4 linked regions of the Pelodiscus sinensis genome follow. The main gene of each other region encodes a partner of the protein of the gene in region 2 in a complex. Links are inferred from orthologs where the notes say so. Each region holds a gene or a part of one and is shown on either strand. Other genes may lie near its edges.

Evidence for each region.
Region 1: DNAJB13 (region 2) and LRRC23 share a complex: the UniProt entries of both Homo sapiens proteins name them as parts of the axonemal radial spoke complex. The link is inferred for Pelodiscus sinensis from reciprocal best matches to the Homo sapiens genes DNAJB13 and LRRC23.
Region 3: the proteins of DNAJB13 (region 2) and NME5 are in contact, whole or in part, in a cryo-EM structure (PDB 8WZB), measured with the Mus musculus proteins. The link is inferred for Pelodiscus sinensis from reciprocal best matches to the Homo sapiens genes DNAJB13 and NME5. Residues at the interface, in NP_705755.2 of Mus musculus: Thr156, Lys157, Lys158, Thr181, Ile182, Asp183, Arg185, Trp188, Arg189, Gly191, Thr192, Arg193, Ile194, Thr195, Phe196, Glu197, Pro281; in NP_542368.2 of Mus musculus: Glu52, His53, Asn56, Met193, Lys199, Pro200, Lys201, Leu202, Cys203, His204, Phe205.
Region 4: DNAJB13 (region 2) and DYDC1 share a complex: the UniProt entries of both Homo sapiens proteins name them as parts of the axonemal radial spoke complex. The link is inferred for Pelodiscus sinensis from reciprocal best matches to the Homo sapiens genes DNAJB13 and DYDC1.

Annotation. Positions count from the first base shown.
Region 1 is NC_134711.1:138,219,360-138,227,351, forward strand, and holds the start of LRRC23 (leucine-rich repeat-containing protein 23), read right to left. Parts: upstream 3,016-7,992; 5' UTR 2,892-3,015; exon of another isoform or gene 2,531-2,891; 5' UTR 2,510-2,530; coding exon 2,408-2,509; intron 2,242-2,407; coding exon 2,129-2,241; intron 766-2,128; coding exon 512-765; intron 415-511; coding exon 284-414; intron 1-283. UniProt on the Homo sapiens protein: Essential for sperm motility and male fertility. Plays an important role in the proper assembly of the third radial spoke (RS3) head and the bridge structure between RS2 and RS3 in the sperm flagella.
Region 2 is NC_134711.1:322,006,843-322,014,369, forward strand, and holds the start of DNAJB13 (dnaJ homolog subfamily B member 13), read left to right. Parts: upstream 1-4,517; 5' UTR 4,518-4,532; coding exon 4,533-4,686; intron 4,687-7,527. Other genes in the region: PAAF1 (proteasomal ATPase-associated factor 1), read left to right, coding at 542-624, 2,626-2,703. UniProt on the Homo sapiens protein: Functions as part of axonemal radial spoke complexes that play an important part in the motility of sperm and cilia.
Region 3 is NC_134727.1:32,340,270-32,347,620, forward strand, and holds the start of NME5 (nucleoside diphosphate kinase homolog 5), read right to left. Parts: upstream 3,001-7,351; 5' UTR 2,848-3,000; intron 1,195-2,847; 5' UTR 1,157-1,194; coding exon 1,028-1,156; intron 1-1,027. UniProt on the Homo sapiens protein: Functions as part of axonemal radial spoke complexes that play an important part in the motility of sperm and cilia. Does not seem to have nucleoside diphosphate kinase (NDPK) activity.
Region 4 is NC_134718.1:14,158,273-14,165,432, forward strand, and holds the start of DYDC1 (DPY30 domain-containing protein 1), read right to left. Parts: upstream 3,013-7,160; 5' UTR 2,874-3,012; intron 2,859-2,873; exon of another isoform or gene 2,667-2,858; intron 1,605-2,666; 5' UTR 1,503-1,604; intron 1,411-1,502; exon of another isoform or gene 1,283-1,410; intron 1-1,282. UniProt on the Homo sapiens protein: Functions as part of axonemal radial spoke complexes that play an important part in the motility of sperm and cilia. Plays a crucial role during acrosome biogenesis.

The sequences.
Region 1 (7,992 bases), about 180 Mb from region 2:
GTTAAAAGGGACGAGCTGAGGTTTAATAGGTCATCAGTTCTTTGCAGGGAACTTGCAGGAGGTTTCTGCTCACTTTGCACTGACTGAGCATGATGGGAACACAATAGGTCCCAGCATCTCCCCCAAAGAATTGATTGTGTCCCCCTGACCTTTCGGAGCATGTAAATCTCTCAGTCTAACAAGGCTGCACAGTGCTGGCCTACCACCACACTCACACATGGACAACCCAACAGAATCTCCACACCACTCTCTGCAGCATAGTGCCCTGGTGAGGAGCTTTTACCAGGTAAAGATTCTTGAGCTTTGGCAGGTGCAGCCCTGCTGTGGTCTCTAGCCTGTTTCCTCGCAACTCCAGCGTGTGCAGGTCTGTCAGTTTCCCTGGATCCAGACCTGATATCACTTGGATTTCATTCCCTGAGTGACAGGAGAAACAAAAGGGTTAATTCCTCCAGTGTCCCATTTCCAGCACACAGTAAGGAACACTTTGTGGTGAGGGCTGGTACACACCCACCTTTAAGGCTGAGGCTGCCCAGACGTGGGTGGGTAATGCCCTCTGTGTCCTTGATACGATTGTGAGCAAAACTGGCAATCTGCAGGTAGGGCAGCTCTGGCAGGCAGGGACTGGTCAGCCGATTCCCATCCACCTTCAGCCACAGCAGGTGGATGAGGCTGCCCAGAGGAGACAGATCTCGCAGCAGGTTCTCTGACAAATCCACATAACGTAAGTGAATGTAGTTCTGGAGAAGGCTGATATCTGTCAGATCCCTGCCATAGGATGAGGATGTAAGACAAACATCCAATTTTCTTCCTCCTTTCTCTTTTCTCCGAGAGCTGGTCTCCACTCCTCTGCAGCTTACCTATATCTGATCTTGAGAAGTTTCTCTGGGTATGATGGAGGAGGGAGAAGGCAGACTGTGGAGTGAGCCAAGGGGTTTGAAACAAAGCCCCGAGGGACCCCTACTTGGAGTCCCTTCCCAGCTGAAAAAGGAGCTGTCAAGAGGGGGCAGAAACTAAGGGGAGGAAACCATAGAAGCTATGAAGAAATAAGTCCATCAAATAGTGGTCCTAGCATTGAGGGCTGGGTGGGGGAAAGAGAGAGACTGGGAAGGACCAGGCTGCAGTGCCAGGAGGTTGGAATACACAATTAGTGACAGGGCTGGTCCTGGAGGCAGGCAAGCAGGGCAGTGCCCTGGGTGCCAACTTCCACAAACCCCCTGAGTGTCTGCCAACGTGGGATTAAGTTCACAGGGATATGAGTTCCAAAAACTTGCAAGAGTGTTTTCCCCATGACATATATGGGTCCATGGTTAGCAGCAACTGGTGGGTGAGGAAGGGAGACACTTGAGTTGGCTGCTGATTTTGGGGTGGTGACAGTCACTTGAATAGCCCCAAGAGTCAACGCAAAGAGCATAGCTCTGGGGGTGGGGGGTGCTGTCAGCCTCCCTACTACACATCAGGAAAGAGCTGCTGAGAGCGTTTCGTGGAGCATCCAACTAACTATCCACCTGTCCTGTCTACCCAGTCACCATGCCCATCTGGATATAATACTGGTGTTCTCAATAATGTATCTGAGCATCAGCCTCACTCTACTAGTCAGAGCTGGCTAACTGTGGGAAGGTCTCCACCATCATGTCCTATCAGCTGCAATCTGGGAGCCCAACCAGACAGACAGGGCCACAGAAATGCTTTAATGACCCAACAAGCTGATCTCCAGTTGGCCAGTCATTTCCTGATGCCAAATTTGACTTGGAAGAGCAGCAAGAGGCCTATGTGGATATTGGGGGGGGGGGGGGGAAGCAAACACAGGGAGGAAGGAGGGCCACTAACAAAGTGACAGTCCCAAAGCCCATTTCCCTTTGGATCATCCCAGAATACAGTCAGAGGTAATCCAAGGTATGATCTGTGCAGGATATTGAGTGGGATGCCCCACTAATCATGATAGCCCAAACAGAAATAAGCCCTCGCTAGTAGGTACTGCAATCCATTCCTCCATTAAACATTATTCCAGAATTTCTCCCCTGGCTGCCCCACATCTTCCTAAAAAGGGTGCTTCAGGAAAGGTGTTGGCTTCTGTCCTGCTGCCAGTGGTTGGGGAGGAGGATTTGACTGTGAATGTTTCCACACTCACTTTTCCTTTGCCTCTAGTTTCACATAGGCATGAGCCAAGCCGTTGCCTGTTTTACACAAGAGGGAGAGGCCTTCCTTCATTATCTCCTCTGTCAGAAGGCGGGGAGTCAAGCTCTGAGAGAGGATGAGCAAAGGAAAGAGACAGAAACAAACAGTCAGTAGAGAAAACATCACAGAAAATAAGGCAGGGTCAGACTCTCAGCTCACCCCTAACATCCATGACCCCCTACACATTCCCTCCCTTCATGCTCAGGCTCCTTTCCAGGTCAGCCTTCCTTACCTCCTCCTCCTCCTCTGTTGGCTCCTTCTCTTCCTCCCCCTCCTCCCCCTCCTTTTCCGGTTCGTTGGCATTGTAGTCGTCCTCAAACTCCTCATTCGACATCTTCCCGGACTAGAAAAAGCCCTGCTAGGAGAGAACGTAATTCTGGCCAGAGAGGCCGGACAGTCCCAGTGTGTCAGCAGCGAGGAGATCCCTGCCCTCCCGCCGTACCTCTGGCTGCAGTGCGGCCTGCGCCGACGGCCCCTTGGCGGAGCTCAGTGTCTGCACGCTGAGGCACAGCCCTGTCCGGCTGAGGACCCAGCACCTGGCTGCACGCAGAGGCCTGGGAGACCTCTGCCAGCGGGGGCCAGAGGGGCTCGGTGCCTAGGGGAGAAGCCCCGTGTCCCATTCGCCACCCAGTGCCAGCAAGGGCCCAGCGCCTGGGCCTGGGCTGGCACCAGGGCCCCAAACCTGCCCCCCAATCTCCACGGGGGGGGGGACTGACCCCAGCTCTGAGCTGCTCCACGAGCCTGCAGCCTGAAGGGGGGGTTGTTTACTGCTGCTATGGAAACCCCGAAGATGAATGGGTGGGAACTGTTGCTAGGTTCTGCTGCCATGGCAACACTTGGTGACTGACAAGTCCCAGTAGGCAGAGTTCTTAGGAAACTGGCAGGAGCCAGACTGGGGAGAGACTCGGAAGCTTGTTTGCAGCCGCTTGATAGGAGCAGGCGGTGCGTGATTTGCATGAAAGGAGGGGTCCTTTGAGAACGCGCCGCGGAGGGGAGGGGCCAATGGGCGCTATTATGACATCATTGCGCTGCAAAGGCAGCGCGGCAGGCGGTCACTGTTCGGCGCAGGCGCATGGGCTGTTCTGCGGGTGAGAGGCGCGGAGTGGGTGTGGCTGCGCCCGTAGGCCCCTGCAGTGACGTTGTCGGTGCCTGTCAGTTACGCTTTGCCCTGGCGCCCGGGCCATGTGGAACCGCGCGTGCTGGCACTAGCGGTGCAGCTGCAGCCCTGCGTGAGGCGCTTCCACCCTGCACCGTCTCTGCAGCTGGGTTCAGTGGCTCTCTGCTCCCACCACCGTACAGATTGTGCCAGCGCCGCTGTTTTGAACCCACACTGAGAAACGGTCAGGTTCAGCCTTGCTGGGTGTCAGTGGCTGGCCAGCCACCGCCAGAGTGTAGCTAGTCCCCACATTCGAGGTGCTGGTCCCACGATTGCTAATGTACACTTGTATGTCACGGCCTAACATTCCTCTTACAGAAGCTGTGACTCTCCCATTCTGCCCATTGAGATCAGGCTGATTCAATGTGCCTCTAAACCCCTAGCTCATGTCACCTAAGAATTGCACCGTGACCAGAGAGCAAGGCTACGTCTACACTACAGGCTTCTTGTGCAAGAACTGTTTTGCGAAAGAGTTCTTGGGTGAAAGATCTTCCACAAGAGCAAATCCACAGTGCCATGTGCTTTTGTGCAAGAGTGTCCATGGCAGTGTGGACGTTCTCTTGCACAAGAAAGCTCTGATGCCATTTTAGCCATCAGGGCTTCTTGTGCAAGAAATGTTTGTTGCCTGTCTACACTGCCCTCTTTTGGAAGAGCTTTTGCACAAGAGGGCTTATTCCTCCTCAGGAGAGAAATAACTTTTCCGGAAGAAGCCCTGTTTTCCGCCGCTATACTGTAAATTTACTTGCGCAAGAACACGTGTGCAATGTAGACAGCTGGCAAGTTTTTGCACAAGAACAGCTGTTCTTGCACAAGAAGCATGCAATGTAGACACATCCCATGTGTGAAACATCGGGACAGGGAATAGGGGGGTAAGAGGTGCCTAGATAAGCCAAGCACTCAAATATTGGGACTGTCCTTGTAAAATCAGAACCTCTGGTCACCCCTAACATATACCCAGTTTGCTCCTGCTACCACTTTGCACAGGATCACTTGACTTTGCTGGTCAACAAGATCTGCCACATTCCCCTTCTCTTTGCCCCACAGTTTCTTTGTTCCACTGTTCCAGACTCATGGTTCCTTGAGGGCTCTCCCCATTTAAGTTCTCTGCCTGTTTAATTTGCCCAGTCCTAAGCTCACTTCCTTTGCCTCCATTATCATGGTCCCCTCCCTCCTTAATTTCTCTTTTCTGGTACCTCCTCTCTTAATGCAAGCCTGCTCCTCTTCCCCAATCTCAAACAGCCACCCCTTCCTACTCTTCTGCTACACTAGTTACTGTCCCTAACTTTGTCTTTCCTCTTTTCACACTCTTTCAACCACCATCTTACCTTGCTGGCTCAGAAATCAACCTCACTGATCCCAGGCTGTCTCCCTGACTTTGTGTCCTATGGGGGAAATGGATTAGATGATATTTAATGGAGCTTCTCCATCTCTTGGGCAAACTCCTGGAGCATCCATAGGGAACAAACCTGCCTGGAGTCACTTCTCTCTGACTTTGCCAGACTGGCTCTATACCAGGAATTGAAGGGACTCATCTCACTAATTCTCCAATTACCCACAGTCATTATTCTCATGTCATCAGGGGATTTCTACATAGGGCATTCCAGACCCTTTGTAATCTATCGCATGCTTTGCCTCATCCCCTCTAACTCCTGCAGAAAATCCTGGAAATGCCTTATTAGACATGCTCTTGCATTACATTTCTATTGGTAAAAATAATCTGGAAAACTGGTTCTGGACAAAAAAAGGGGGGTTGCTTTTTCTTCCTCACCACTTCCCCTTTTTCACTGATGGGGGTTTTGTTTGTGTTTTGTGGGTATTGGGTTTTGTTTGAGTTTAATTTTTTTCCAGCCTGACTTTCACAATAGTAATTCAGGTCTTGTCTACTTGGTTCTTCCTGGAAGACTCTATGAAGGACTGGAGAATGTGAATTCTTATGAGTTTGGATTAAGAGGAGAAAGGTCTTTCCTTGTATATCATCTAACAATATAAAATGTCTACCAAATTGTTTAAAGAAAACCTCTTTTTGTTAAAAACCCAACACCACTCCATGACCTGTGCAGAGAACTTCCATTCCATGTATCTGTGGCCTCTATGGCACTGGTTGGCAAAAAGTAAGGAAGATGAGATTTGCCATTCCCGATAGTTCTCCAGTTAAGAAATAAGCAGAGTCCCACCCACTCAAAAAAGTCCTTTCAGGACTCTCTGTTCTCCATAAAGAAGCAAATGATTGGCACAAATTCCATGTACTTTTTCCCTTATCATCTTGAACCTTCATGGGCTTTTGCTCAACTCTTCGTCTGGCAGTGCTGAGCAAAAGAGAAGGAGCAGGAGACCAACAGATCAGAGTCTTATCTTGCTCTGATCCCTGCCCGAGATGCACCTTGTTCTAAGAGTGGCAAAGAAATCAAAAGGTCATGGCAATACACAACTCCTCTTGAGCAGTGTTTCTTAAACTTTTTAAAACCGAGGAAGATGATCTTCCAATTTTTTTATGAGGAACACCAAGGATTTTTTTTGTTGAGCAAAAAGAAAAGAAAAAGGGTGTGTGTGGGGGGGTGGGGAAGGGGAGTAACTGAGAAAAAAAAGCTCCTGCCTCTTTAAGGGTGGCCATTTTGAACTCTGTTGTTCTCCAAGGCACACTGGTGTTCCCCAGAATACAGTTTAAGAAACACTGCTCTTGAGTATTCCAGGATCTCTTCTCTCACTGTTTACATAGCCCCCACTGCCTCATCCCTACCAGGGAACAGTCCCCCAGTCTTGTCAGAGATGGGCATTATTCTGCTTTCTTCTCATGGAAAATCTGTAGATCTTGCAGTTTATGATTTTTCCTTGAAATACCCAAACCCTGAACACACATCACAACCATATTTCCCAGGGAAGGTGGTTTTTGCCACACTGAATTTTAGCTCCCCCCTTCATGTGATAATGCTTGTGATTTCTTTCATTATGAAATTGTAGCTAAATCATTTAAATTTGGGACCACAAACCCTACTTTGTGTTAATCATATTTGCTGTTTGGTATCACAAGGCAGACCTGTGTATTTTAGTGATAGCATCTCATAGTTTCTTAATATATTTAGCTTGAAGATTAACCTGACCTTTGAATTTCCTTGTTTGCAATGCCTGATTTGGGGATAATTACACCATCTCTTAAACATAATTTACCCTAAATTACTCGTCTATGCTTTCAGCCATAACTCCATTTCAACTTAGATTTTTCCTGCAGTTCTTTATTGGAGTTGTCATTTTTCTCTCCAGAAAGACTGTTAATTGGCTTGGCAGCTAGAGGAATAAAACTTCTTCAGCATTTCGCCCCCCTTTACCCCCCCAGTTTCTCTCTTGGCCCAGCTGTGGTGTGCAGAGATAAAGGGCCCACACCTGCAAGCTACCAAATGCCATCAGTTCCCATTAAAGACAGTGGGAGTCGAAGATACCCAGTGTCCCTGGGATGCATTTCCGAAGAGTTCTGCAAGCAAAGCCATTTCCTTTGTAGGAGTCAAGCAAGCAAAGTGCAAAGGGAAGGCCCGGCCAGCTGGGCGAAGCTGACTGTCTAATGCAGTGTTGTTCCCTGTGAAACCTGGAGCCTTGTTGCTTCTGGAATTGTGTGTTTTGATTGATCTGGAGCGTTACACCGAAATTCATGTTCAGGCCCTGAGCAGCCATGTGGAAAGGCAAGGGCACAATGCTCCTAGGTAGACATCACAAACAGGGCTCAGGTACTGCCTCAGTGTTGGTTCATGCTGGAGGGGAAGCTGAAGAGCTGAATGCCGGGAGGCCAACACTGGATCACCAGAGGGTATGAGTCAGATGCTCCATGCTTTGTGGCAGAGGGGGATGGGTGTTGAATATATGAAATGTGCTTGCATTTCTACTTATTGGTCAGCTGAGGGCGCTCTAAGTCAGGCAGTCAGCAGCCAGGTTAGGTCAAGCCTGGCGAGCCTAGAAAATGGGGAGAGAATATAAAGATGCAGCCTGTGGATGTCCAGCATTCCCAGCCCCACTGAGAGGGCTGGAGTACAGGACCTGTGTCTCCCACCTGGCACCACAGGGCCCTAACCCCCTATTAGTGGGAGATCCAGTTTCTTAGGGAGTAAGGGACCAGAACAGGGAATGGAACCTGGATGCCCTTCACAACAGGACAATGACAGCCTCAGGGCTGGGCCAAACCACGGTAGCACTCCCCACCCGCCAGGCAAGAGCCTGGGACAAGGAATGGAACCAGGATTTCTTGAGTTCTGGGCATAAATGCCCCCTTGTCCAGTGGGGCAGCAGTGGAGGGAAGCTCGTGGACGTGTGTCAAACCCTTGAAGAGATAAGTAGATACCCTTTGTGGAAACGCAGGTGGCGGCAAGAGGAGTCAGAAGAGGGTGAAGGAGCATGCAGAAGTTTCACATCTGTCTTCACTCACAGAACTGACTCCTATTCCAAGATGGGGCTTCCTTCCAGCTCTGCTAAAGCTCCCAGCCCAACCCTGCAGCGGCAGATGCAGCTAGTGACTCCTCTTAACATAATGGTGCCTTGCAAATTCAGAGACAAGTTCATTCCATGGGCCTTTTATGAGGGCTTACGTACACTACAGGTTATGCTGTATAACTTACTAACAGATTTACCTGGCATTGCTCAGGTCTTTAATTCAAGTAAGGGTTTTTGTATTTTGAAAA
Region 2 (7,527 bases):
ACATCTACACTGGACCTGCAGGTGTAATTTCCAGCTTGAGCAGATATACCTGCACTAGCTTACTAGAGTAGCTGCAGTGGTGCAAATGGGTGGATGGGACTAGCCAACTTGAGTATGTACTTAGCATCTCCTTCCACTTCCTGTGGCTACATTTAGAGCTAGCATGGGCATGTCTGCTCGAGCTGGAAATTACATCTTCTAGCTCAAGAGTAGACACACCTTTAGAGAACATGTCCCCAGCAAGTAGATGACAAGTGACATAATAGGGATAGTATTAATCAGTGTTTCATTAACTTCCTAATATTTCATATTCCTCTGTCATCAGTTCCCGGTACCCTTCCAATACCACTGACTCTTCCATGAGATATCCCAACCTTCCGAGAGTCTGTTTGGCCAAACTGGCACCCCACAACTCCTATTCAAAGGCTCGAATACAAAACCATTCCTATATACGCCCACCTGCATCTGTTTGTAGTTATGGGAATGTCGGATCTTGCAAGCAGTTCTGTATTCCTTCTCTATTTTGATTTTTTCCCCCTAGGTGATGGAACCTGTTTTATTATTCAGCAAGATCTTGATCACGTAATTGACCTCACAGAAGCAGATTGTGACCCTGTATACAAGGTAATGGCTAAGTCTGCTTATCATTGACCTGAGTAACAGCAAGGGGGAAATAAAGGTGCCACCCTGCCATGGCTGCCATTGTCTGGTGATTTGGCAACCAACAGAGCTGTCACCTTTCTGAAAAGTCAATTTTTTAAATTAATTTTTGTATTTGAATAATTTAACTCTTTACAAAAACAAATCCTTTGGTCACCTGGCTAAGGAGCAGTAGCGTAATTTCGCCTCTCTCAAATGGGAAAACTGAGGCGGGGGTTAAGTAACTTGTCCATTGTCAGAGAGCTCTGATTACAACTTGGGAGCCTCTACTTCTGCATTCAGGCCTGTCTGTTTTAAAGGGCAATTCTGTTTAGAAAAGTGGTGCCATTTTTACAGAAATCCTTACTTAGCTGAGCTGCCCACTGTTCATATTCTGAATCACATCAGCTGATTTCAGAAACTGAGTTTTTGCTGCCCTTTATTTCCATAAACCCCACTGAGCTAACACAGCTGTTGGAGAGGGTGCTGGATTAGCATCCCGTTTCGTACAGCCATGGTACTGATGCTGCTGCTTAGGTCGTCTTGTAACAGGTTCCAGTTGCAATGCCATACCTTGCCATCTGTTGTAACAATACAGCACCTTGAAGGCAGTGTAGGCTAGCATACCTGAGTGCAGCATTTGGCCTGCAGACTTGTAATTGGTGGTGATGTGCGAGCAAAAGAAATCCATCTTCTCTCTTAGGGTCTGCCTACACTACAGAGGAGAACAAAGCTGCTGTTGTCAATCTTCTGGCGTTTTAATTAGTGGGTCTAGTTAAAACAGCTCATTTGAACTGAGAGGGGCGTACTGCTCGATGCTAGTAGTCCTGTTTTCAAGAGGAGTAAGGGAAGTCAAAGGGCGAGTGTTTTTTCCTTTGACTTCCTGCAGTGTAGACAGTGCCAAAAGCCGAGTTAAGGTACTTCAACTTCAGCTACGCAGTTAACATAGCTGAACTTGCATATCTTAATTCAACCTTTTCCTGTAGTAGAGACCCTCAGATCTGACAGAAAGTCTGTCCTGTAAATGGAGTGCGTTTGATCAGTCGTCTTTGAAACAATTTCAAACCCCAAGGACCTTGTGTCTAAAAGTTGTTGCTCACTGATTTATAAAGCACTTAGCTATCACACTGTAGACCCCAGGTGCTATTACACAGTCATCTTTATAATGGCAAAGCTGAAATAAAAACATGCATGCAAACCAAGAAACATGCTCAATAGTGCTGTTCAACAGGACTTACTAATGTATCCTCTTCCCTCATCCTCCAGTGAATCTTGAGGGGAAACTGCTGCATTTTCAGCTAGTTGTAGTGTTCTATGGCTAGTTTAAGAGCTAATACTTTTTCAAAGGTTGCTGATTTCTTCCTTTCCCATCTCATAAAATAAAAACATTTAAATGTTCCCATTTTTCTTCAGGCTTTTTCTCAGTTCAGAGCCCACTGCAATGTAGCATTTGGGGAAGTACATGAGCTCTTGTGAGTAGCAAACTACTCTGTCCATGGTGATACTGGTAGGATTTCTAATTAACACATGGAGATATCTTCCTTTTTGGACATCTAGGGACAATTATCGTTCCAAGAATGTTTGACATGACTTTGAAGCCATAACAGTCAAGGGAGATGTTAAAAGCCAGATATTGATACATTCACTGTATATTGCAGTAGCTCATAGCGGTTCCAGTCAAAGATCGGAGAGGCCTATTGTCCAGAAGGCTATCCAAACAATGAGGGTTGGAGGGAGTTCCCTGCCCAATATAGCTCTGTTTCCATTATGAGTTGTCAAGCAGCCCCAGCTGATCTTTCATCTTTCCAGTCGCCTGTTATTGTGATTTGTATGTCTCATGGGAGAGATTTGTTTAAAGGAGGGATTTAAGAGGATGGAAGTTTTTGGCCATATATATATAGGGTTGCACAGGAGAAACTACAAAGGCAGACGAAGATGATGTTCATGCAAGTGATTTTATTTTTAAATATTTTCATTTCCTTCTAGGTTGCTACATGGGAGAAACAGATTTATACATGCTGCAGAGATGGGGTGGTGAGGAGATACCAGCTTTCTGACCTCTGAGCATTTGAGGGTTATGGAAAACAGATAAATTCAGAACTAAGCTAAAGTCTGGCTAGGTTTGAACCTCGGCTACATAGCACTTCGAAATAAAAGTAATGCTAGCTTTCTGTGATTGTACGGTATATACGAAACGTGTGTATATATAAGCTGGGCGAACACTTATGATAAAAATCTAAGAACAAGACTGTACATGGAATTCTTGATCTGCTGCTTATTAAAACCAAAGTTCAGACAAGTCTCTTCCAGTAAGAAGCTTATAGAAGATGTTAGTGTAAGATCTTTTGTATATGCAATATATTTACACATTTAGTGAGCAATTTGGTATTTTGAAGAGAAGACTGATTTGGAGGCTGGAGAGAGAAGTCGTCTAAAAGTTACTGTACTGCAGAATTGATTGAAATAAAGGGATTGACTTTTGTTAACTTCTTGTGCATTTTCAAAGTTCGTGCATTTTCAAAATTGCTAATTTCAAAGCAAAACCACTCTGTCCATGCCATATTCAATTTTTCGTAATCTTTCTTGTGACTATCATGAATAACAAGTATGACTATTTTGTAAATGTAATGAGCAGCTACGATTTGATCTTAGATGAAATTTGAGATTTCAGTTTGATCTTCACTTAAATGAAATACATATGTTCTTAGGCAATTAAAATATATCCAATTGTAGTTAAAACCATTACAGCGAAGACCACATTAAAATTCCACCTGTTACTTTTAAATCAGTAATTGTATAGCTCATATATGGGGAAAATGTTTTTTTTTCCCTTATAGGCAGTCTGCCATTATTTGAAATCCTCTCTCAGCTATATGTACAATCCTGTGGACTCTGGTCTATCTACGCAATTTGTGTGCATGTATCTGTAAATTCCTGTGCTAGCTCATGATATCCAAGAGCAAACAGTGGGCTAAGATTCAGGAACTCCAGAAATCAAATTCAGCTGATTCACTGTGTGGCCTTGAACAAATCACTGAATATCTGTCTTGGTTTCCTCAGCTATAAAAAAGGGGTGAAATGCTACTGTCTTATGGACAATCAAAATTGTCATGAGAATTTAGCCTACATACAAAATTTTTCCTACTTTTCACTCCTTAAAATCTGTTAATAAAATCCACTAGACCCAGCTGAATTTATAATGGCTGAGATAATGTATATAAAGTACTTTGAAGACAAGTAACCATTTACTCTTAAATAACTAACATGGTGTATGCCATAGTGGATTGGCTTGTTAAACTGCAACAAGGCTCCATCCAATCTAGTTCACTATCCACTTGTAAGACTTTTGTCCTCCCTCCCTGTCATTGATAAGGTTACCATCACACCCACTGAACCACAAATGTGTGTGATGAGCTAGGCCGTGTTGGTGAATTAATGCACACTAGGGTTTGGTGCTATGCAGCTTTACTCCCTGCTGCAAGGAATGCCCTCTAAAGCAGATTTTCACTCCCTGCCCCAGTGGACCAGGCATGTGGAGGGCTCTGCTCTGCTGAAGCTGTGCAAGGGGAGAACTGATAAAAGGTGGCCCCACCCAGCAGGGTGGATGGAGGTGTGAGGGAAGGATCAGGGTTCAGCGCTGTTGTGGGACTTGGGGTGCAGTGTCCCATGGGGGGGAGGGGAGGCTCTGCAATGAGTCAGCTGGGCCACTGCCCCTAGGAGATGGGGGGGTGCTCAGTGGCTCCTTTATTCTCCCTAAGCTTGAAGCCCCTCCCCCGCACACCTCAGATTCTGGGGACAAGGGGACGGGGAGGAAGGGCCACACACGCCCTTGAGAAGCAAAGAAAAGGGGAGGGGTGTGTAGTCCGGAAGTGACGTATGCGCCCGGACGCGGGATGCGCGCGAGAACTACAACGACCACAATCCCCAGCGCGGCGGTGCCCATAGCAACGGGGACGCGGGACCGACAGCGCCGGCCGCCATGGGGCAGGATTACTACGTGGTGCTGGAGCTCAACCGCACCGCCAAGGACGCTGACATTAAAAAAGCGTAAGTGGCGGAGGGGGAGTTCGCCCCGCCCCCCACCTCACCTCTGCCAGGGGCCTGTCAGTGCCGGGGGGGGGGGGGGCACCTCTGCCAGGGGCCTGTCAGTGCCGGGGGGGGGGGGGCACCTCTGCCAGGGGCCTGTCAGTGCCGGGGGGGGGGGGGGCACCTCTGCCAGGGGCCTGTCAGTGCCGGGGGGGGGGGGCACCTCTGCCAGGGGCCTGTCAGTGCCGGGGGGGGGGGGCACCTCTGCCAGGGGCCTGTCAGTGCCGGGGGGGGGCACCTCTGCCAGGGGCCTGTCAGTGCCGGGGGGGGGGCACCTCTGCCAGGGGCCTGTCAGTGCCGGGGGGGGGCACCTCTGCCAGGGGCCTGTCAGTGCCGGGGGGGGGGCACCTCTGCCAGGGGCCTGTCAGTGCCGGGGGGGGGGCACCTCTGCCAGGGGCCTGTCAGTGCCGGGGGGGGCACCTCTGCCAGGGGCCTGTCAGTGCCGGGGGGGGGGCACCTCTGCCAGGGGCCTGTCAGTGCCGGGGGGGGGCACCTCTGCCAGGGGCCTGTCAGTGCCGGGGGGGGCACCTCTGCCAGGGGCCTGTCAGTGCCGGGGGGGGCACCTCTGCCAGGGGCCTGTCAGTGCCGGGGGGGGGCACCTCTGCCAGGGGCCTGTCAGTGCCGGGGGGGGCACCTCTGCCAGGGGCCTGTCAGTGCCGGGGGGGGGCACCTCTGCCAGGGGCCTGTCAGTGCCGGAGGGGGGGGCACCTCTGCCAGGGGCCTGTCAGTGCCGGGGGGGGGGGGCACCTCTGCCAGGGGCCTGTCAGTGCCGGGGGGGGGGGCACCTCTGCCAGGGGCCTGTCAGTGCCGGGGGGGGGGGGCACCTCTGCCAGGGGCCTGTCAGTGCCGGGGGGGGCACCTCTGCCAGGGGCCTGTCAGTGCCGGGGGGGGGCACCTCTGCCAGGGGCCTGTCAGTGCCGGGGGGGGGGCACCTCTGCCAGGGGCCTGTCAGTGCCGGGGGGGGGCACCTCTGCCAGGGGCCTGTCAGTGCCGGGGGGGGCACCTCTGCCAGGGGCCTGTCAGTGCCGGGGGGGGGCACCTCTGCCAGGGGCCTGTCAGTGCCGGGGGGGGGCACCTCTGCCAGGGGCCTGTCAGTGCCGGGGGGGGCACCTCTGCCAGGGGCCTGTCAGTGCCGGGGGGGGGCACCTCTGCCAGGGGCCTGTCAGTGCCGGGGGGGGGCACCTCTGCCAGGGGCCTGTCAGTGCCGGGGGGGGGCACCTCTGCCAGGGGCCTGTCAGTGCCGGGGGGGGGCACCTCTGCCAGGGGCCTGTCAGTGCCGGAGGGGGGGGCACCTCTGCCAGGGGCCTGTCAGTGCCGGGGGGGGGGGCACCTCTGCCAGGGGCCTGTCAGTGCCGGGGGGGGCACCTCTGCCAGGGGCCTGTCAGTGCCGGGGGGGGCACCTCTGCCAGGGGCCTGTCAGTGCCGGGGTGGGGGCACCTCTGCCAGGGGCCTGTCAGTGCCGGGGTGGGGGCACCTCTGCCAGGGGCCTGTCAGTGCCGGGGGGGGGGCACCTCTGCCAGGGGCCTGTCAGTGCCGGGGTGGGGGCACCTCTGCCAGGGGCCTGTCAGTGCCGGGGGGGGCACCTCTGCCACGGGCCTGTCAGTGCCGGGGGGGGCACCTCTGCCAGGGGCCTGTCAGTGCCGGGGGGGCACCTCTGCCACGGGCCTGTCAGTGCCGGGGGGGGGGGGCACCTCTGCCACGGGCCTGTCAGTGCCGGGGGGGGCACCTCTGCCACGGGCCTGTCAGTGCCGGGGTGGGGGCACCTCTGCCAGGGGCCTGTCAGTGCCGGGGGGGCACCTCTGCCAGGGGCCTGTCAGTGCCGGGGGGGGGGGGCACCTCTGCCACGGGCCTGTCAGTGCCGGGGGGGGCACCTCTGCCAGGGGCCTGTCAGTGCCGGGGGGGGCACCTCTGCCAGGGGCCTGTCAGTGCCGGGGGGGGCACCTCTGCCACGGGCCTGTCAGTGCCGGGGGGGGGGCACGTCTGCCAGGGGCCTGTCAGTGCCGGAGGGGGGGCACCTCTGCTACGGGCCTGTCAGTGCCGGAGGGGGGGCACCTCTGCCACGGGCCTGTCAGTGCCGGGGGGGGGCACGTCTGCCAGGGGCCTGTCAGTGCCGGGGGGGGGCACCTCTGCCACGGGCCTGTCAGTGCCGGGGGGGGGCACCTCTGCCACGGGCCGGCAGTGCCGGGGGGGGCACCTCTGCCAGGGGCCTGTCAGTGCCGGGGGGGGGGCACCTCTGCCACGGGCCTGTCAGTGCCGGGGGGGGGGGCACCTCTGCCAGGGGCCTGTCAGTGCCGGGGGGGGCACCTCTGCCACGGGCCTGTCAGTGCCGGGGGGGGGGGGCACCTCTGCCAGGGGCCTGTCAGTGCCGGGGGGGGGGCACCTCTGCCAGGGGCCTGTCAGTGCCGGGGGGGGGGGGCACCTCTGCCAGGGGCCTGTCAGTGCCGGGGGGGGGGGCACCTCTGCCAGGGGCCTGTCAGTGCCGGGGGGGGGCACCTCTGCCAGGGGCCTGTCAGTGCCGGGGGGGGGGGCACCTCTGCCACGGGCCTGTCAGTGCCGGGGGGGGGGGCACCTCTGCCAGGGGCCTGTCAGTGCCGGGGGGGGGGGCATCTCTGCCAGGGGCCTGTCAGTGCCGGGGGGGGGGGGCACCTCTGCCAGGAGCCTGTCAGTGCCGGGGGGGGGCACCTCTGCCAGGGGCCTGTCAGTGCCGGGGGGGGGCACCTCTGCCAGGGGCCTGTCAGTGCCGGGGGGGGGCACCTCTGCCAGGGGCCTGTCAGTGCCGGGGGGGGGGCACCTCTGCCAGGG
Region 3 (7,351 bases), on a different chromosome or scaffold from region 2:
TCAATGGGAGTTCCAGGAAGCTGTGTCCTAGCTCACACCACTTCCTGCAGCTCCCATTGGCCAGGAATAGCAATCCACAGCCAATGGGAGTTGCAAGCAGCAACACCTGTGGACGTGAAGGTAAATAAAGCAATGGTGGCCAGCCAGGGGTTAACTCTAGCGAACCACCTTTGTCTCCTGGGTTATTTATGGCCGACCCCTGCTTTAGACTGCTATGATGCTTTGAGGTCACCAAGAAATCCAATTTTAGGTCTTGAAATAATAAAAAGAGTCATTAGACTAAAAGAAACAAATGCAAATATTTTTGAGTGGTCATTTTAACTCATGGATAATGTGTCATTATTTATCCCCATTCTATAGTAATGGTGTAATGGCCACAGGCAGAACCAAACCTGGGACCTCTGGAGCTCTACAGCAGGAGTGGAGACCCATGGCCCAGGGGCCAGATGCGGTCCCTGACTTGCCTGGATATGGCCCCCGGGGCTCAGGGCTCCTCCCCCACAGAATTGGGGAGCCCGCACTGGCACTCCAACCACCGCTGCCTCCTGCCTGATTTTTCTGTGGATCAGCAGCCCCTGACCCTAAAAAGGCTCCCCACCTCTGCTCTACCGCTTGAGCTAAAAGCCAGCTGGCTCTCTGCTAACACTGTAGAAGAAATTCACAAGTCCCTAAGTGCCACTACATGGGAGAGTATGCCGTGCCCAGTAGGTGTGTGGGTTACATAGGCACACTTGACAGTTCCACATCATTCCTCATTTTAGACATAAGCTTTCAAATGATGTATGATGTGCATTTGTGTGTAGAAAAGAGTACATTAAGTAAACCAAATTGGTGGTGTTTGCATCTTGCTTATCAGACCATAAACAAACTTCAAATCAGTGTTCAGAATGATGAAAAGTGAAGCTTCCATTTCATGCATCTGACAAACTGAGCTACAGCTCATGAAAGCTTATGCCCTAATAAATGTTTTTAAGATGCCACAGGATTACTCAGTGTTCAGAACCTTATTTTATGTACAGCATATTACCTGAACAATGGTGAATCCTGATCTGAGAATTATATCTTCTATTTCTTCTTCTTTGTCAATTACATCTGGTTTGATGAGGGCCAGAGTTCTTTCTACATAAATCTGAGGCTCAGGCATTAGCGCTTGCATCTTTGTGTCACGATTAAAATTCAAGTGCTTCTCCCTTACTGCAAAGACAAGATTTTGCGCAAATACTCTTTAACGCAAGAGTTTTTGCGTTAGAGTATTTGAGTAAGAGAGCGTCTACACTGGCATGTGCCTTTGCGCAAAAGATGTGCTTTTGCGCAAGAGCATCCGTGCCAGTGTAGATGCTCTCTTGCGCAAGAAAGCTCCGACGGCCATTTTAAACATTGGGCTTTCTTGCACAAGAAATTGATGTTGCCTGTCTACACTGGCCTCTTGCGCAAGAACAGTTGTGCAAAAGGGCTTATCCCTGAGCAGGAGTGTCAGAGTATTTGCGCAAGAAGCACTGATTTTATACATTAGAATGTCAGTGTTCTTGCGCAAGTACTTGCGGCCAGTGTAGACAGGTGGCAAGATTTTGCGCTGCGCAAAATCTTGCCACTGTAGACATAGCACCCGAGACAAATGAGAGGCTTACTCCCTAGAAATGAATCTTAACAGGAGAATATTTCATTTATGTGAGATACTACTGTGGTATCTGTGCAGAAAATAGCTGGTTCTTATTTCAAACCATTCCATTCTTTAACACTTGGCTATCACTGGAGAAGAAGCAAATTAAGGGCCCACTCCTGCAGTTTTAGTGCTCCCTTTGGAACAGTGTCTATGCAAAACACGTAGGATTGGACCTCCATCAGCATGGGAACCTACCAGCATAGGAACATCCAAGCTTCCTCCCACTCATCTGGCCTGACAACAGGGTAGGCTTAGCTGGGGAGCTGGCAGTGTTCCCTATAAGCTGTGTGTGGTGCGGCTACTTAAGAGAGATTCCGATGCTGCCCAGATGATTAGAAGAGCGCCCACAGCTAGGTTTGTGTTTTTCTTAGGGATGTCAGGGGTTAACTGGTAAGCATCACACTTACCAGGTGATGCTTACTAGTTACCGGTTACCCAGTGGCCTAGCTGTGCTGGCGCACCAGCTCCGTCTGCCTGCACCGCAGCACAGTGGGCCTGGCCACGCTGGAGCATCCTCTGCCCGTGAGATCCCATTTAAGCAATTAACTGATTAAACGGGATTTTATATCCCTAGTTTCTATGGGTGGTGCACATTAGAGATGCGAAAAGTTAACTGGTTATCTAGTTAACCAGTGGGGGATGGAGCAGCTCCCAATCTGCTGTGGGCAGGAGGTTTCTCCAGCCCCACAAGGGCCCACCGCAGAGAGGGGCTGCTCTGCTCCGGTCCAGGGCGGGTCTGGGCACCCTGCAGGCAGGGTCTGGTGCAGCCTCTTGTCTGCGGGGAGCCTGGCCTGTTGTATGGGGGCTGGGGGCAGGAGCCCCGCGGGCTGGGCGCTGCACCCAGATCCCGGTTAGTCGGCTCACTGGTTAACCGTTAGGTTAACCCAACATTTAACCAGTTAACTGCTCGACCGGGATTTTCCATCCCCAGCGTCTGTGGGTGGTGCACATTCGCCCATGCCTCGGGGCACATACAATTATTCTGCACACGGGCAGAAAAGTGCAAAGGGAACGCAGGAGCCAGGTGAGCCGGGCCCACCCCGCGGTGGCGCTGACCCCCCCCCCCAAGTGGCTCGAGCAGCGCCGCCCCCCGCTGGGTGAGCCCCCCGCGCGGGCCGCGTCCACAGGGAGCCCCAGGAAGAGCCAGCCATTACCCCGCCGCCATCCCCCTCGGCCCCACGCACCTTCCGCCCAGCGGCTCCGGCCCCAGCGACGGTTGCTAGGAGACCCGAGGCAGCAGGCGAAGGAGCCGCCCCCTACGGCGTGGGGCACGGTCCGTGTCAGGCGCGCGTTTCGTTACTCAGAGCCGTGGAACACGGCGCGCGCTGCTCTTGGGGGCATCAGCGCTGGTGGAGCGCGAGCCCCTAGTCCCTCCCCCCGCTCCCCTTCTGCACTGCCCTGCCCGCTCCTTGTTCTGGGGGCGCGCTCCCAGCCTGAGTCGCTCCGTTGGTCACGTGCAGAATCCAGATTTGGGGCAAAGCCCGACGTGCTGCACCCTGGAATGCTTCATTTAGGACAGGGCTGCACCAGCCTGCCCCGTCCCAGCTGCCTCTGAGCTGGCTGCATCAGTTATGAATGTAACAATGTGATTGAACCCTGGCACCTCTTTCGTTCCAAATTAAGCCGTGCCAGGTGCCAAGCACTGACCAGCAAGCTGGCCAGTAGGGTTGCCAGATGGTTTCAACAAAAAATACCGGACACGCTTGACATTACATCACAATCGACATTACATCTTATTTAGAAAATACTGGACATTTCTGTTTTCTCAGTTATATTTTCTCAATTTATTTCCCAAACAGAAAGCTCAAATACTGGACTGTCCAGTTCAAAACTGGACACCTGGCAACCCTACTGGCCAGGCCCAGGGCTCAGTTAGAAGGGGAATCTGGAGATTGAGTTGTGTGGGTCAGAGGCAGTTTAGATCTTTCTGTCTGGTGTGGAAGGGTTGTGGTGTGCGTCTGTAACAGATATAAGTTGCACGTCTCATTGATTTGACATCTGGCATACTTGAGGTCTTCACAGGAGTCATACGCACAATGAATTATGTATACAGGCAGTCCCCGGGTTACGGGTTACGTACAAGATAGGGACTGTAGGTTTGTTCTTAAGCTGAATCTGTATGTAAGTCGGAACTGGCGTCCAGATTCAGCCACTGCTGAAACTGATCAGTTTCAACAGCGGCTGAATCTGGACGCCAGTTCTGACTTACATACAGATTCAACTTAAGAACCCCAGGCATCCCCAAGTCAGCTGCTGCTGAAACTGATCAGCGGCTGATTCCAGGAAGCCCGGGGCAGGGGCTTCCTGTAGTCAGCCACTGGTCAGTGGCTTCCTGTAGTCAGCCACTGGTCAGTTTCAGCTGCGGCTGACTTGGGGATGCCTGGGGCAGAGCAGCTGGGGTGCTGCTGGGTTGGTCCAGTAGCGCCACCGCTCCTCGGCGCTACTGGACCAACCCAGCAGCACCCCAGCTGCTCTGCCCCAGGCGTCCTGATTCAGCCGCTGCTGAATCTGACCAGCAGTGGCTGAATCAGGAGCCTGGGGCAGAACAGCTGGGGTGCTGCCCGGTTGGTCCAGTAGCGCCCAGAGCGGCGCTACGGGACCAACTGGCAGCGCCCCAGCTGCTGTACCACAGGTGTCTGAAGCAAAGCCACGGAGCACGGGGGCAGCGGGACAGCCCAGACGCGCAGTGGCTGTCCGCTGCCCGCGTGCTCCGCGGCTTTGCTCTGCTTTGCTCCCCCCCCCCCTCCTGGTCTGCAGACCAGGGGGAAGGGGGGGGGGCAAAGCAGAGCCAAGCCGCGGAGCGCGCTGCCAGCTGCCAGCCCAGACGCGTCTGGGCTGTCAGCCGATCGTGCGCTCCGCGGCTTGGCTCTGCTTTGCCCCCCCCCCCGTCCCCCTGGTCTGCAGACCAGGGGGACGGGGGGGGGCAAAGCAGAGCCAAGCCGCGGAGCGCCCGGCCAGCTGCCAGCCCAGACGTGTCTGGGCTGTCAGCTGATCGCGCGCTCCGCGGCTTGGCTCTGCTTTGCTCTGCTTTGCCTCCCCCCCCTCCCCCTGGTCTGCAGACCAGGGGGACGGGGGGGGGCAAAGCAGAGCCAAGCCCCGGAGCGCCCGGCCAGCTGACAGCCCAGACGCGTCTGGGCTGTCAGCTGATCGCGCGCTCCGCGGCTTGGCTCTGCTTGGCTCTGCTTTGCCCCCCCTCCTCCCTCTGGTCTGCAGACCAGAGGGAGGGGGGGGGCAAAGCAGAGCCAAGCCTCGGAGCGCGTGGGCAGCGGACAGCCCTGTCCGCTGCCCACGTGTTCCGCCGCTTTGCTTCCTCTCCCTGGTCTGCTGGAGACCAGGGAGAGGAACCCCGTTCGTAACTGCGGATCCGACGTAAGTCGGATCCGCGTAACTCGGGGAGTGCCTGTATAGCACCTCTGAGCTGGAGGGATCCCCAAATACTTTACTTTACTAACCCTAACGCTGGTCCTAGAACTTCAGTTGAATGCAGACTGGCTAAAATCAATGAGAATTCAGCATGCAGAGCACTTGCTAATTCATAAGTATTTCCAGTAGCCCTGTAGTGCATCCTTATTTGGAAAGAGGATGGTAGTCATGTGGCACACAACAGAGTAGAGAAGGGAAATTGTAACAATTGTTTGTGTACAATAGGATGGGTACAATCAGCAGGGCAGGCCTTAGGGAAAATGGTGCCCTGGGTGAACTTGTGTTTTGGGGTGCCTGTGGGCATGGCACTCACCCATTTCCCTTGGGGGCATGGTACCCCCCATTTACACTAGCACTCGTGGGAAGCCCCAGCCTGGGCACATTTAGGCACTTTGCCCCCACCTCTGCATAGTGCTGCTTTCACCCCAAACCCTAGCACTTCTCTCTTGGCAGCACCCCCAGCTCTAGCCCTGTACTGCTAATGTGCCCTGCCCAGTACTCCCCACTCCTTTCCATGCTTAGCAATCCCCATCCCCAGTAGCTCCTCACCCAGAGATCTCCACCAGTTACCTGAGCCCACTACCCTCCCCCCCAGATCCTTTTTCCCCTGACCCCCGCTGCCCTGCTTTCCTCTCTCATCCCCCTCTACAAATGCAAATTTTATTTGTCAATAGATGTGAGAGAACACCCTGAAACCTACCTTTCCCCCATTGTTGACAGGGACGGATATAGGGCAGGGCGAATGGGGCGGCCGCCCCGGGCCCCGCGCATGCGCCGTGGCGCCACCGCGCTTGCGCATGGCGTTACTGCACATGCGCCGTGGCAAAGGGAGGGGCCCCGCGGAATTATGCTGCCCGGGGCCCCGCAAAACGGTCATCTGCCCCTGATTGTTGACTCACATTGTCAACATTTCATGGCCACCTTGCTTTGCTCTATCTGTGGACAAGGTGCTAGCAATGTGGGTAAGCATACCACAGTGCAGTGTTGTGGGAAGGCAGAGCTGATCCCTGCATTTCTTGGGATTCCCTCACAGCTCTGTGAGCTCTCTTTGCCGAGGAATGTCAAAGCAGCACAGCAGTCTCTCCACCCCTCCCCCCGCAGCAGCAGTCCACCTACTGCTGTGTTCCTAGCAGGGCAGAACAGGAGCATTCCAATTTTTGTTAGTTCCCTAAAGGGAGCAGCTGACTCAGCTGTCAGATACTTCCCAAAGCTTTGAAAGGGGTGGGTCACATGCCTGGAGGGCAGTAGAGATCACAAAACACTGAGCAAAGCCATCAGGGCAGGTATCATGGGATACCAGAGAAAGCTAGTTCTCTGGACAAAACAAATAGGCTACGTCTACACTGGCGCGTTCTCACGCAAAAACTCTTTTGCGGAAGAGTTCTTCTGCAAAAACTCTTCCAGAAGAGAGCATCTACACTGGCATGTGCTTTTGTGCAAGAGCATCCATGCAAGTGTAGACGCTCTCTCTTGCACAAGAAAGCTCTGATGGCCATTTTAACCATAGGGCTTTCTTGTGCAAGAAATTCATGTTGCCTGTCTACACTGGCCTCTTCTGGAAGAGCTCTTGCGCAAGAGGGCTTATTCCTGAGTGGGAGCATCAGAGTTCTCATACAAGAAGCCCTGATTTTAAACATTAGAACGTCAGTTTACTTGCACAAGAACACACGGCCAGTGTAGACAGGCAGCAAGTTTTTGCGCAAGAGCGGCTGCTTTTGCACAAGATCGCGCCAGTGTAGACCCAGCCATAGAGTCCACACTGGCTATTTGATGACAATAAAGGGAGAGGAAAAGTGTCTCGCAAGGGTGGAAGTTTGTCACCAAAACTGGGTGTTTTTTCCAACAAAAGTTGCATTCCAGTGTAAACGCTCTCACTGTTTTGTCAAAGGCAGCTTTTGGTAACAAAATGTGCCAGTGTAGACAAGGCTAGAATAGGGGTTTGGCAGTGAGATACTTCTGTGTTCAAGGCAAAGGCCACAGGGAAGCATTTTACATGATGGCTTGGATATCAGCTGTAACCCAAAATATATTTGAATGACAAAAAGAAATAGCAGATACCAAAAGCTGAGTCTAGCCCTCATTCAGGCATTTGCCTGCCACAACTTTGGGCCATCACCTTCCAACTGAGTTTTAATTCTTCCTAAAATAGAACATTTCCCTCTAAGCCTGGAAAGAGAAGAGGTGCTTGGGATACGAAATTTAATAAGGAAAAGAACCTATACTTGATTTGCACATGCATTCTTTAAAAAGTCCAGTCCCCTCCCA
Region 4 (7,160 bases), on a different chromosome or scaffold from region 2:
TCCCGCGCTTCTGAGGCTTTGCTCTGACAAAGCCTCAGAAGCGCGGGAACCCGCCCGGTGCCCCTGGTCTGCTGGAGACGGTCTCCAGCAGACCAGGGGCACCGGAGCAGCTTACGAACGGGGCTTTCTCGCCCCGGAGCTCACAGGTAGCAATCCGCCACCTCGACCTCCGGGGCGAGAAAGCCCCGTTCGTAAGTGCGGATCCGACATAAGTCGGATCCGCGTAAGTCGGGGACTGCCTGTAAAATATTTTGTGTATGCAATAGGGATGCAAAATCTTGTTTAATTAGTTAAATATTAAGTTTAGCCGGTAAACCAATTAAATGGGGTGGGCGGGGGAAGCGGTTTCCTCGCTGCGGTCAGAGCCTGCTCCGGCTGAGTTGGAGCAGATTCCTGAGGGCTGCTCCAGCTGCCACCAGTTAACCACTGACATCCCTTAATACATAACCAAAACATAGAATATAATTCTGCTCCATTTATTTCACAATATAATTTCCATGAAGCAGAATAGGTTAAGCCTCTATAAACCGGATTTCCCTCATCCAGCAACATCTGTAATCCAGCATCCATGAGTGGTCCGGGATCGGAGCACTCACGGGGAACAGCCGGAGGCCCTGCACTCAGCAACTCCTCTCCCTTCCTCTCAGAGCTTGCAGAGTGCCACAAATAGCCCACTTGCAGTGTTTAAGCTCAGAGATGAAAAGGAAGGTGTGGAGATGGGGGGCACTCAGGGAAAGGTACAGGATGGGTGTGGTGCCCCATGGCCAGAGGTGCAGGCACACAGGGGCCAGGAGCGCAGACCAGCAGCTGCAGGAATCCGATGCTGGCCACAGGCACCACACTCTCCCTGACTCTTCTACCAAGCACTCCCCATTCCCACTCCCTCCATGCTGGCCCCTCTGCTGCCATCATAAAAGAACCCAACAGACTGTGGCAGCAGAGGGTCTGCAATTGACATCTCCTGGTCCGGCACCAGTCAGGTCCTGAAGGTGCTGAACCAGGGATGTTCAAGCTACAGTTGCTTAACACAGTTTAACTTCAGTAAATATTCACTTATCTCTAGTTACAATAGTACATGATCACTACAGTGTTCCTTATAGTGCTCTATTCTATTAGTTCTAATGAACAGTCTCAATTAGCTATTTCCTGTCTTTAATTACACACAACTTCACTGAATTAAATGCTCATTCAAAAGGAATCTAGAAGCTACATAGAATTTAAATCATTTCTGTGTGTGATCAATTTTAAAAAAACAGATCTTATCTAAAGGCAAGTAACGCACATGAAGCAAGAACTAGGTTCCTGACACAAGTGGGATCAGAAAAATCATAAGCTTTTCCTTCCTTTTGATCTCTTACAGATACCCCTTTGCTATGGTCTCTTAAATTCAGACCATACTTTCTGGCACACTGGCAATATACCAGTGTTTTGTCACAATGCACCTCCACAAAATGCACATCTGAACCCACTTACCTCCTGAAGGTTCTATACTTTCCACTCACCTCAAAGGATTCCTCAGCCAACTCTTCAAATATATTTACATTCTTTGCATGGTTTTTTCACTTTTGATTTTGGGATGCTTGATTTTCTTGTTTAAACCATTTCTACAACAAAAGAACAGTTAGGAATGAGATATCTATAAATGTCATAAAGGGCTATATATATGGGCATATGTCTCACCCCTACCATACATGAGACTAAAAATATCTTGACTCAGAATGTACTTTTTGTTTATGTATTCTGTGCAAGCATTTGCATGATCAGAACCTTTTATACTACTTCTTACTATACTGCTTCTCACTTGTGTACAGACCCCGACTGATTTTTCTGTGGGTCAGCAACCCCTGAGCCAAAAAGGTTCCCCACCTCTGCTGTAAGCTAAGTGTTCAGATGCCGCCACCCTCCCACCCCCGCCGCTCAGCAAAGATTCAAATGCCACCCATCTGATTGGCAGACTACCTATAGCTGGCAGCATGTTTTTTTCTGCTGTTCCTGCATATCTGCACATGCCTTTGTGCACATAAAATTTATTCTGCACATGGATGGAAAACATTAAAGAGAGCATTGGCTGAGTGTGTATTCTGATTTGCAATGTATGTAGCAGCACTCCCAAGTGACAAGTCAGACTCTTGACAAGCAGCCAACAGAGCTGGTGCTATCCAGCTTGAACATCCTGGGGTTTCGAATAGGCCCCCACAGACGACTGGAAATAGTTGCAGGCTCCAGAGACGGCTCTGACCATTTGGCCCAGCTTATTCCTCCTCCCCTCCTGGAGCCCAGGCCTCTCTGCCCCCACCGCAGGGAGCATCCCTCTCCAGCTGCTGCAGACATGGCTAAGATTGCCAAAGGGATGCACACTCGGATGCGAAATCCCAGCCCGCCCGCCAGCCGGTTAAACGTTAAACCTCCGGGCTCGCCCGGTTAAACGCCTGGCGCGAAATCCGGGCTGGAGCAGCCCCCAGCCCCGCACTGGGGCTGGCTCCCAGCCTGTGGGGGCGCGGCCAGCCCCGTCTGCGGCAGCTGGGCCCCGGGTGCCTAAGCTTTGCTGCGGACACGAAGACCCCCGTGGGGGTGAGGGGCGGCCGCTGGGAGACGCGGTCAGGGACTACGGCCGGCACGGCTCCCGGTGGGCCTCGCCGAGAGGGCAGAGCCGCCCTTCACCACACCGAGCGGAGGCTCCCTGGGGCGAAGCCCAGCCGGGAGAGACGCGGCCCGAGCCCCGGCGCTTCCCCGCTGCCGCCTGGGAGCCCTACGGGGTGGCCGAGCAGCAGCGCAGCTCAGGCCCGCGAACCGCCACGACGCCCAACGGTCCGCGGCGCGCGCCCACGGGGGGGGGGCTCAACCGTCGGAGGGCGGGGGGGGGACGCGCCGACCTTTGCTCCGACGCTTCGCGCAGCCTCAACCAGCACGCCCTCCTCTAGGCGCGAGCCCGGGAGCGTCCCGTCGCTAGGCAGCCGTCCGCGTGGCCCGGGCGGGAGGGTTGGTGGCGGAGCTGGCGCTGGGGGCTGTCACGTGAGTAAGGTGGCAGCGTTAACCCCCCGGGCTGCCTGAGGGCAGCTCGCGCCTGGGGTCTCGAAGCGCAGCCCCGCCCTGCCAGCCCGGGGACATAGGCCTGACCCGTGCGCCAGGGGGCGAGCGATCGTCACACGAGACAAACCGCTGCCGCTTCCACCCGCGTAACGTGAGCGTCGGGCCAGCGCCCCCCGCGTGGAGGGCGAATGCCTCGATCTGTTGATGGCGCGGGCCCAAGAACCCAGCAACTGGACAGCTGGGGCAGGGATGTAAACGGGTAACCAGTTACCTGGTAAGCACCACCCTTACTGGGTGCAGGTAACTGGTTAACCAGCGCCCCGCGCACGCCGGTAACTGGTTAACTGGCACACGCAGGTAACGGGTTAACAGGTTAAACAGAATCTTGCATTCCTTGTTGGAGCGCCAGAATGCCAGACTGAGGGTACGTCTACACGGCAACACTATTTCCTAATAACTGAGTCCGTGTCTACGTAGCAGGCAGGTATTTCAAAATAGTGTCAAAATACTGTCAAGCTGGAGGACTACGCTGACCCTCGTTGGAGGAGGAATAAGGGAACTCGGAGGAAGAGTGCTCTATTTTTTAAATAAGTGCTGTGTAGATGCTCCCTATTTTGAAATAAGCTATTTGGAAATAAGCTACGCAGTTGAGGTAGACACCAGAGTTGTCAAGTATCAGAGGGGTAGCCGTGTTAGTCTGAATCTGCAAAAGCGACGAGGAGTCCTGTGGCACCTTATAGACTAACTGAAGTGTAGGAGCATAAGCGTGGGCAAAGACCCACTTCGTCAGATGCATGAAGTGGAAATTTCCAGAGGCAGGAATAAATATGCAGGCCAGGATCAGGCTGGAGATGACGAGGTGGATCCAATCAAGGAGGATGAGGCCCACTTCTAGCAGCTGATCTGGAGGTGTGAATTCCAAGAGAGCAGAAGCTGCTTTTGTAGTTAGCGAGCCATTCACAGTCTTTGTTTAATCCAGAGCTGATTGTGTCAAACTTAAAGATGAACTGTAGCTCAGCAGAATACTGATAGAAATGTAGCCCTGTTAGTCTGGGGTAGTTGAAGCAAAATGCAGGACAATGTAGCACTTTAAAGACTAACAAGATGGTTTATTAGATGATGAGCTTTCGTGGGCCAGACCCACTTCCTCAGATCAAATAGTGGAAGAAAGTAGTCACAACCATATATACCAAAGGATGCAATTAAAAAAATGAACAAATATGAAAAGGACAAATCACATTGCAGAACAGAAGGGGGATGCGGAGGGGGGGGGAGGGGGAGGAAGGAAGGTAAGTGTCTGTGAATTGATGATATTAAAGGTAGGGAGAGTGGGATGTTTGTGAGTTAATGGTATTACAGGTGATAATTGGGGAAACTGTCTTGGTAATGGGTGAGATAGTTCAAATTCTTGTTAAGTCCTTGTTGGCAAGTGTCGACTTGTAGCTCAGCAGTTTCTCTTTGAAGTCTGGTCCTGAAGTTTTTTTGCTGCAGGATGGCTACTTTTAGATCTGCAATTGTGTGTCCAGGAAGATTGAAGTGTTCCAGAGTTGTCGACTCGAGTCTCACGACTTGAACTCGAGTCCGACTTAAGTCACCTAGATGACTTGACTTGAGACTCGACTAAGGTTCATGGTTTGTGACTTAACTTGCTAATTTTGTTGAAGCGACTTGGTGAAAAAAATGTCCGAAAATGCCGCTGTTCTGATGCGCCCAGAGCGTCCAACGCATCCTCACCTCCCAGCTGGGATTCCCAGGCTGGGAGGCGGGGCCGCGATCGCTGCTCTTGGCGCATCAGAAGCCTGGTGGGGGTGGGGGAAGTAGCTAAGAGTCCCAGCCACTCTTCCCACCCCCACCAGGCTTCTGCGCAGTCACAGGCTCCTAGCGCCGATCATGGCCCCGCCTTCCAGCTGCTCCTCCCGCCCACGCAGGCTTCTGTCCGGTGCGCAGCCGGAAAAATCAGAAAATACCGGACACCTGGCAACCATAAGTATTTCAATGACGTAAACAATTATTATATTCATGAAGATGCGAGATTTCAGAGTTGTAAAAAATGAATTGATAAAAATATCCCATTTACTTGTCAACAGTATGCTACATTGTTGTGGGTTACTTTTCTTTCAAAACGATGCAATACATGGTGAATGTGTTTCATTTTTTTTCATTGTTTTGAACGCATCTAGGCGCAATTTCTGGCTTTAACGTAGAGCTACGACAACAACAATGCGAAAATAGTTTATTGGCTTGGGATTTGTGAAAATTTTATTGATTGTGTGTTTGTTTATGAAATTTTACATTAATATGCCATTTTTGAAATTTCATAGTGAACAAACAAAATTAAAATAATCAAAAAGTTAATATCCGTCTGTGAAGAATGAGGAAGAAAAATCAAAATGTCCTAAACTTTGTTTTTTTCGGTCAAATCAATAAATCCAGAGAAAACACGATCAGCGAAGTGCAAATTATGTGGGGTTGTAATCACTGATGGCATTGCAACAACTTCCAATTTTTTGCGCCTTATAAAAACCCATCCGCGAAAGCACAGTGAGTACGAAAAATATCTGCGACAAACCACAATTGATCCCGCCTCACCGTGTAAAATATCGGATTTCATTTATAAAGCATGATAATCAAGGTGTTTATGGAATAAATCATCCTAAACAAAGAAGAATAGTCAGTTCTTTGGTTATAGAACTGATAATTGGTTGCTTACTACCACTTTCAATAGCAGAAAAACCACAGTTCAGGCGATTTTGTCATGTGTTGGATCCCCAGTCACAAGAAATAAGTCGGTCTTTGGTTATGACATAACTGGACAATTTGTACCATAATGTGAAAGCTGATGTGTTGGCACTTCTTACTGAGGTGGACACAATTGCACTGACGCTCGACATCTGGTCAGATAGAAGAATGAGAGGCTTTTGGGGAGTAACAGCCCACATGATAATAAGGTACGCGCTCGTGACAAATTGTTGTCATGTGAAAGGTTCCTTGGCCAGCATACTGGTGAGAACATTGCAGAAGTGTTTGAGAACATATGTGATTCTTATAAAATAAAGGATAAAATTAGATATGTTATAACAGACAATGCTGCGGACATGCGTAAAGCATTCATCATAGCATTTAACAACCATGAATCAGAGCAGCAAATTGATATGCAAGATGACACTTTGGAAAATGAAGAATTATGTGAAGACTTAAACCCAGAAGTCGTTACATCGGTCATCCATCATGTAAACTCAAGTGGACCTCGAATTAAGAGACACAGTTGCTTTGCTTATACTCTGCAACTCACTGACCATGGTCTCAAGGAGGCGAAGTTATATGGTGCCCAGGCAAAAGTGTCAAAAATCTGCAGCCTTCTTCACACAAGTACTCTGTTCAAGGAAACCTTTGAAAGAAGGTTTGGTCTTCAAGCTTGTATTCCCCAAACCAATGCTACCAGGTAGAACAGTACTCTTATGCTGTGTCTACATTGGCGTGATTTCGTGCAAAAGCGGCCGCTTTTGTGCAAAAACTTGCTGCCTATCTACACTGGCTGCGAGTTCTTGCGCAAGTACACTGACGTTCTAATGTATGAAATCAGTGCTTCTTGCACAAGAACTCTGATGCTCCCGCTCAGGAATAAGCCCTCTTGCACAACTGTTCTTGTGCAAGAGGCCAGTGTAGACAGGCAATATGAATTTCTTGTGCAAGAAAGCCCTATGTTTAAAATGGCCATCAGAGCTTTCTTGTGCAAGAGAGCGTCTACACTGGCATGGACGCTCTTGCGCAAAAGCACATCTCTTGCGCAAAGGCACATGCCAGTGTAGACGCTCTCTTCTAGAAGAGTTTTTGCACAAGAACTCTTCCGCAAAAGGGTTCTTGCGCAAGATCATGCCAGTGTAGATGTAGCCTCAGACAAATAAATGTTTTTTAGTCCCTGGATGAAGAAAAGCAGAAACACATGCTTGAAGAACAAAACCAGTATAATTTAAAACCCAGCCAGAGGGATTATTCCCAGCTAAGGGTATGTCTACACTACCACCCTAGTTCGAACTAGGGTTGTAATGTAGGCAACCAGAGTTGCAAATGAAGCCCGGGATTTGAATTTCCCGGGCTTCATTTGCATATTGCCGGGCGCCGCCATTTTT